Tribolium castaneum: one gene and its partner. The protein of the gene in region 1 interacts with the protein of each later gene in a biochemical or structural test. Links are inferred from orthologs where the notes say so. Each region holds a gene or a part of one and is shown on either strand. Other genes may lie near its edges.

Region 1 (4,616 bases):
AGTTTAAGTAAAAAGCGTTATTTGATTTGTTGGTGACTTACCAGAAGGCGGTTCCATCATTAGTAGGGCGTGGTGGGCCGCCCCTAAGCCAGCGCCCGGTTCGGGCGGATTGGCTACAGCTTGCCCCGCCTCGTTCGGCGATTGGCCGTCACTATTGCCCAACAAATACGAATGGATGTTTAAAATCCAGGCAACGGCGCGGCACCAATTACGCACCAGGCCTTTCAACCAGATCCTCGTGTGGGATTGTTCCAATAATGCTGGGAGGATCACTTGTAAAAGTAACAATTCTAAGGACAGTTCATTCACTTGTGTCTCACTGTTGAGGGACACTGTATATGGGAGAAAAGACGGAAGAAGGATTTTCAAAATTCGAATCGGGAGCCACAACATCAAAAGAACAACACTACCGAAGATAACCGCCGAGATCAACAATTTCCGTATATGTTCCAAGATAGGTAAATGGATCATTTCTTGAATTGGACTGAAATCAGGGTCGTTGAAGTTGCGCAAGAACCACAACACTCCTGGTCTTAGAATTTCACGCAAGAGGAGAACAAACGAAGCGAAATAATAGACATAGACCATTCCGATCAACCAATGGATGAAGATTGAAGTACCAGGAGCGGCACTAAAACTACTCTCCCTGTCTTTGAGCGAAGCGTCAAACATTGCCAAAGAGCAAATATCCAACCACCAGCCACAAACCAATGGTAGAATTCCGATTTCAACCACCGAAAGCATCGATACTTTAACCACCACGTAACACAAACCTAGGACGCGCTTAGCTTTGTAAAAACCCAAAACACCGGCGACTCGATGGAAGAACACAAAGAAAAGACCAACAGTGCAATAACCGACCAAAGTGGTCAATAAACCTTCGAAATGACTGGCCGAAGCCGCCTCCCTCATATTAACAAGGGAAAGAGTCATTAGACCCATATGGTACGGGGAGTAGGCAAAAATGAGTATAAACAAAGTGTTCAACGAAATGACCCAGAAAACGTGTTCCAGGAACATTAAAGAACCATCAAGACCCAACAAACGCTCCCATGTTATCTCCTCGGCCGCTCTATCCCACTCCATGGGTATCCAATTGTTGTCTTCGCCTCCATTCACTTCATTCTCCTCCTGTTGTTCCCCCTGATTCTCCCCTTGAGGTGCTACTTCTGGCTCCTGTCCGTTGTTCTCCTCCACGTCTTCCGGTATGTTGTTATTCAAGACGGGAGGTGGGGCATCTTCGGCCACGCCCACGTTATCTCTCTGTAACCAATCGGGTCCTCCCCCGTGTAAGATCTGCTCGCGCAGCCACACCAACCCAGCGAATGCGAATAGCGTGCACGTGACGACGAAGCAACCTTGGAAAATGTCCGATGCCAGGTTTTCCATTGAGAGGAGTTCAAACGGAAGGGTCAAGATGGCGTCGACAGTGCCGGCGAAAAGGGCGCGGTAGATCCGACAGGCTGTCAAAGGGACGATTCCGAGCCAAGCGATGGCGACTAGAGTGTAGTGGAGCCAGTATTTGATGGCGGTTCCGATGGAGGAGAGGAGACCGGCGGCGAGGTCTCGCACAGGGAGGCGGCGTGGCATGTCGGGGGAGTAGATGGGAGTGAAGGAGAAACGATAACTGCACAATTCGCAGTATTCTTTGCGCGAGTAACGCATCCATTGCATGAGGCATTCCTGATGGATCCACTTTATGCTGCCCGTGCAGATGCAGGGGTGGAACAGGGGGCGGTCGGGCAAGCCTTCCGAACGGCACACCCGGCAGATGTCGGTGTTGGACAGTTCCGAGTCCATCATTACGCTGAAAAGACACAGTAAAAAAAAAAAGACAGTAACTCAAATATCAAAAAACATTCCTAAAAAATCAGAGGGGAGCTGTATTTTCTCCAAATATATTTGGTTAATATTTTAACTATACTAGATCAAAATTTGTACTAAACAGAAAGTTTTGGAAGTGGCCATGAAAAAGTTTGTGCAAAAACCAGAGTTTCCCGCTAATGCTCTCTCCACTAGATTCTCCCTCTATGCAAGTCCATTATTTTTCCCTTCTTTTTTTGGGAGCATTTCTGATGTAAATAAGTTTAAATCTGGCAACTCTTTTTTTTGACCTGCTATCAGGCACGAGCCACCCCATAATATGAAAAAAAAGAACAAACAAAACAGAAGCATAAATTACAAAAGATGAAGTTTTTTTCCGTTCCTGAAAAGTTAATAACAATTTAATAAAGCATAAAGCTGAAACTAGACCCCTCAAATGAGACAGAATGTTTTTACAGACTTAAATTATTGAATTTCTCGAAAAAACTGAGTTGTGTATCTCTTAACCTTGACCGTTCCTTGCGATTTTCTCATTCCCATGATTGTGATGCAATCGAACTGAATCAATTTTTAATTAGTCCGACCCTGTCCTTGGTCGATTTCTTTATCGTCCAATTCCGGAATAAACTGAATATTTGCATTATCTACGTTCGAAACGCGACGACACCCATGAGAACAATTGAATTGAAAACAAAACAAACCTCCCACTTTGTACTTTGTCGTTATTCATTTGTTTTTCGGCAAAACAAATCGATTTTTTGCGTTCACAAATCAACTGATTTTATCTCAAGGTTACTTTTGCAATTAGAATAATAAAAAACGTTTGTTGTTAGTTAATTATGCCCAAAAACTGATAAAAAACGCATTATCTGTAGTGTGACAGACACAAGGGATTTATTTTTAACATAAAAATCTGGGAATTGTTCCAATGATTCACTTGGCCGTATCAAAGTTCCCCCAATCGTAAACACGGATTTTTCAAGTATATTGAGCCCCCATTGATGCAGTTATGTAAATTAGCAATTAGCAGGCCATGTGTTGGGGGCAGAGACCTCGAATGGCCCACATTTTCAATCCACCGATAAACGAAATTATTATCAAGGGATTACAACTCACACTAATTGATTTTTTTTTGATTAGTTAATAAGAATCAACACAATAAACAAGCTGGGACAAAAAATTACCTGATGTTTTTTGGCACAGGAAACTACTTGAATGTGAAGAACATTATGTAATTTACGGATCCGACTCAAAGATCCATAGTTGCGTGATCACAAATGCTCGAAATTCGACAAAAACTGCAATTTTTTAGGCGTTTTGAGGCTTTTCAGGACGAAAAAATTTATTTTTTGACGTAATACCACAAGACTGACGTTTACTTTCACTCAGGAAGCCAACTGTTGGCTAGTTCGGGAAAAGACCAACCTGACAAAACCACCAGTCACTAACACAAATAATGAGTTGTGCGGGGTTTTACCCTGATATTTTGACTTAAAACAACCCAGTTTCGTATCAGTAAAGATCACAAATCGCGTAATATCAATTGTGGGGCTTGGTTTGTGAATTACACTTAATTTCGTGTTACGTAACCTTAGCCACAAGAAACCTAACCTTAAAGTCTACAAAAAATGTCAACAAAGCGCTGATTTGGCGCCAAGTTTTTTGTATTGTGTTTTAGTGCAGTTTTTAGTGTGTTATCGAAGCAAAACATGATTTAGGAACAATGAAAGATTCAACTCCAATAAAGACCGGTAAAAAATCAAAGAAAAACAAGCACACCAATGAAGAAACCCCCGAAACTTCCCCAAATGGGGCTAAAATCAACGCGTTTCAATTTATGATGAATCGAAGACATCGGAGCATTGGGGGGAATTCCCCTGGGCGTGAACCTGACGCAAACGACTCGGAAACAGCCTCGGATAAAAGTGTCTTAAAGGAGAGGAAAAGTCGGTTTGAGAGCTGGGCGGAGGCCAAGGGGGCTGCCAAACGTAAACGAGAGTACGAGGAAGTCGGCAATTGCATCAGTTACAAGCTGGAGAAACGGGGAAAACGATTGAAAAAGTTGCTAAATATTGATTGTCAAAGTGACGATGAGGTGGTCACTAAAAGGAAGAAGCGGAAAACTGTTGTAATTGAAAGTGACAGTGAGAACGAGGCACCAAAAACACCAACTGCCAACAAAAAGTGGAAATTTAAGATCAAGTTGGCCGTGGATGACAGGAGTGATGTTGAAAATTCGTCTGTCAACAGTCAACGAAATGTTGAAAATGCCCAAGGAAGTGTTGAAAATGCCCAAAAAAGTGTTGACAATGCCCCAAAAAGTGTTGACAATGCCCCAAAAAGTGTTGAAAATGCCCAAGGAAGTGTTGAAAATGCTCAAGGAAGTGTTGAAAATGCCCAAGGAAGTGTTGAAAATGCTCAAAAGAGTGTTGAAAATGCCCAAGGAAGTGTTGCAGACGTGGTGATAGTTGAAAATGCCCCTGTCAATACGCAGTCTAGTGACAGTGGCATTGACGTCATCGAACTCGACGTGGACCCAGCCAACTCTGTTTCCGACGAAAATGCCTCACGCAGAGTTTTACGATCCCGAAAACCGAAAAAATACGATGATTTTCTTCAACTTTCTGATTCGGACGATGAGAAGAAGAAGAAGACAAAAGTGGCACCAGTTTTCTTAAAAGCTGTTCCAAAACCAAAATTAGATCCGGAAGCAATGGAAGCAAGAAGACAGTTTTTGATGAGTGGTGTTCCGTCTTCTTTGAAAAAAGAGATGGAAAAGGTGCGAATTTTTA
Region 2 (3,386 bases), on another chromosome or scaffold:
AATATTAATAAAAAAAATTGAGAAATGATCTGTGGATAGGATCAACGAGATCAACTGATAAAAATTTGTGTAGGCAACCCAAATAACTCATTCGTAAACCACGAAAGGTCAAAAATGGTGTTTTTTCTAAGCTTTGCAGCAGGTTTTTGGCTTAAAATGTAAGTCTTTTGAACCGAAAATACCAATATATTCAATATATTCGTGTTTTTTTTTCGAGCGTATTTGCTCGATTTTCATTCTTTTGTTTCCTATTTGTCTGCCTTATGCCTATTTCCGGAATATAAAATTGAAGCGGACTTTCCTACTTCAATGAACGTTTGATTTGTGGAGTAGTAAATTGAGTCAGCTTTGTTTTGTTTTTTTTATTTTATCGATTAGTCATTTACGATTTTTGGATATCAAACACCTGTTATTACTCATCAATTACATCTTGAAGTAACAACGCATTTGAACAAATTTTTGCTTGATAAGTGATAGGTGCGTGAAATGAAACACTTGGAAAAATGGGAAAAAATATATTCATCATTACAACCAATATGTATTATGATACAAATATTAATAACAATAATACTAGGATTATGATATATTACATAAGTTATTTACATTGAGAGATTTAGGTTCGTTAACTGTTGATAATGTTTTAAGTAAAAAAGTTCAGCTGAAACTACAAAGAACCCTAAACGTGTGCTCTAGAAAAAAGTCTCTTAAATTTCCTACAAAGATTAAATATCCTGCGCCGTTCTTGACAATTGCGAAAACTAAAACCAAAGAAAAGTAAACTTAAAATGTGACTTTTTCAACCCTATTATCAACCCTATTCAGCTTCAGACGCCGTTGTTATTACTACGTATTTTACCGTAATCGCAAATGCAGCAACACCAATAAATACTATCAAATTAGTAATACATGATTGGAAATTGCTGGGTTCTGCTACTGACCGAGAGGTTTTCTGGTTCTCTGCCACGTTATTATTCATGTTACTCCGTTGCGTCAGCACGTCCTATTTAAACAAAGGTCAAAACATCGCATAGCCCCCATAACCAGATACAAACCTGGATTTTGGTAACTGTGTCTGGAAATAAATCACAAAACTCCTTGTCTTTGAGATTGAATTCAAGCGAGTGGTAGGCAAACTGCCGCTTGTCGTACTCTGACGTTTCTATGCTCCCCAAAGTGGGGCTCTTTTCAAGCTAAACCAAAAAATTACGAAAAAGTACATTGGGAAATAGTTCATTACCATAAAACTGAGAAGCCCTGTGAGTATTGTGGAGACGCTCCACGCCGGATTCCACGTATCTGGATGAAAGTCCGATATACTCAAGCACAGCTTCTTGTTAGTCCGAAATCTCCCATTAGGCGTTATCATATAGATAGAAGGGGGCTTGAAGGGGAACTCGCGCGGAAAAACCAACTTCCCGTGGTAGAAGCCCCCTTCATATGGCGTATTTTCCGGCCCGCACACCACATAGTGCCTAAAACTGGCTCGAAAACAAACCTTTTGGGTGCCTCAGCACTCACCATTCCAGGATATTCGAGGGTAGAGGTTCGGCGGTAATGTAGGGCACGGGGTCACGTTTCAGCCTCAAATAGTCCTGTTTGAGTCGCGAAGTGGCACTATTTGTCTTGCGATTCGACATTTTCAACTAATTGTACATTCTTGAAAGTGAGGTTAGGAGCACTCAAAACGTACTTAATTTGTGCCTCTTATCTGTGTTTATCGCTCGGGGCACGTAATCAATCAAAGTCGAGAGGATGGGACGGGGGCGCGGGGCGGTGATAAACAACAAGTGATTTTTTTGAGTTTTTCCGAAAAATTGGTAAAGCGACAAATGACGTGAGAGTGAACTGTCCCGAAAACATCTGACGTAACACTTTTCTGCCAAAAAAGCCAAACAGAATTTTACAAAGGCCCACAAGTAATCATAAGCTAAATAAATAAATAATTTAAAGACGAAACCGTACTAAAAATTTGATAATTTCATCATTTATCACCGTGGGGTAGGCAACCAACAATGCGGCACATGAACGGGGATTCCCATGTAAAATAATCATCGTGAGGTTTTTTTAAAAAATTTATTTTCAAAAGTGACATCGGCGAAAAGTTTAATCATAAAACATTTCCGTGATATCGACACTAGGCACCATTGCGGTTTCCCTTAGCGTTAGTAAGAGAAAAGCAACTGTCGCAATATCGAATATAATGTAAAACAAAAACGTATAAGTGTGAATCATGAACTAAAAAAAACTCGTTAATAAATTGCCCCAAATTCGCCAACGTGGTACCCAAAAAGGTAAAAAGCACCCAACAAAAATAAGTTGGACGATCCAGTACAACATCACCGTCATAGAAACGGTGATGGGTCTGGCGAAATGGTTCGAAATTTCTGCCGTAAAGAACCACCCAATGGTACCAGCGCCAAGCGCAAAAAACATCACATATAGATAAATCAGAACGACGGCGATTGTGTCAATGGCTTGATTAGGTCGCACTGAAATTGACTAAAAATGAAATGAAGAATTGTATTTTTTCCCAATCACTCACCATTAGAATCATCGTGAGAGTAAAACAAAACACTGTTAGCACCATACCGAAATAACTAGCCAGCAATAGAGGCTTGCGGCCCACTTTGTCCACCGCAAATACGCACACAAGGGCGCAAAACCAGTTCACGAAAGCTAGACCTAGAGCCATTGCGTTGGCTTTGAAATCGTCGAAGCCCAGGTGTTCGAAAATTACGCACGAAAAGTACAACAACTAAGGGCACGGTTTAAAATATGTTCAAAAAATTTGCCCACTTACACAGGTAACTCCTGTCATTTGTTGTCCCAACATGACGACAGCCGAGATTATTAAAGGGTTCCTCAAAGTCTCATCTTTGAACAGCCGTTCTATTGTCACTGGTCCAATTTCGTCCAAAAGGGCCATTTCTTCCCTCAAATCGTCCATTTCTTCGTCGATTTCTTCCCCTTCAATGTCCGCTACCGCGTCCTCGGCTCTATCCTCATCCCCTTTATCGAACATGAGGTATTTGGGGCTTTCGGGACAAAATATAAGCATTATAGACTTAAAAGAAGCATTCTTCAAATTCTAAAACACCACTGTTTTACCTGAATTATAATCGGGCATCCCGACACGACAAAAACATAAGACCACGTCTCGATTTCCCCCATTATCGTAGGATGGGTGAAAACATAAGCCATGAAAATTGATAAAGCCACAATCAGGTAATAACAACTCCCGGCAAAGCCTCGCAGGCAGTGAGGCGAGATTTCGACCAAGTACATTGGTCCTATTCCACTGTTAATTCCGGCCGACACACCCAGAAGGACTCTTCCGAAAATCAGCAATTCGAAAGTGCTTGAAGGACTGACAAAACTCACGATGA

What was found.
Region 2: the proteins of E3 ubiquitin-protein ligase MARCHF6 (region 1) and ubiquitin-conjugating enzyme E2 J2 form a complex in vitro, tested with the Homo sapiens proteins (2 studies listed by BioGRID, with this or other methods). The link is inferred for Tribolium castaneum from reciprocal best matches to the Homo sapiens genes MARCHF6 and UBE2J2.

Annotation. Positions count from the first base shown.
Region 1 is NC_087399.1:3,029,726-3,034,341, forward strand, and holds the start of E3 ubiquitin-protein ligase MARCHF6, read right to left. Parts: upstream 3,211-4,616; 5' UTR 3,009-3,210; intron 1,808-3,008; 5' UTR 1,804-1,807; coding exon 42-1,803; intron 1-41. Other genes in the region: elg1 (ATPase family AAA domain-containing protein 5), read left to right, coding at 3,548-4,616. UniProt on the Homo sapiens protein: Endoplasmic reticulum membrane-associated E3 ubiquitin ligase that plays a critical role in mitigating endoplasmic reticulum stress, the regulation of cholesterol and lipid homeostasis, and ferroptosis.
Region 2 is NC_087398.1:6,629,560-6,632,945, reverse strand, and holds ubiquitin-conjugating enzyme E2 J2, read right to left. Parts: upstream 1,945-3,386; 5' UTR 1,638-1,944; coding exon 1,519-1,637; intron 1,473-1,518; coding exon 1,238-1,472; intron 1,191-1,237; coding exon 1,053-1,190; intron 1,001-1,052; coding exon 815-1,000; 3' UTR 759-814; coding exon of another isoform or gene 677-758; 3' UTR 501-676; downstream 1-500. Other genes in the region: solute carrier family 2, facilitated glucose transporter member 3-like, read right to left, coding at 2,104-2,235, 2,284-2,499, 2,543-2,755, 2,801-3,064, 3,109-3,386. UniProt on the Homo sapiens protein: Catalyzes the covalent attachment of ubiquitin to other proteins. Seems to function in the selective degradation of misfolded membrane proteins from the endoplasmic reticulum (ERAD).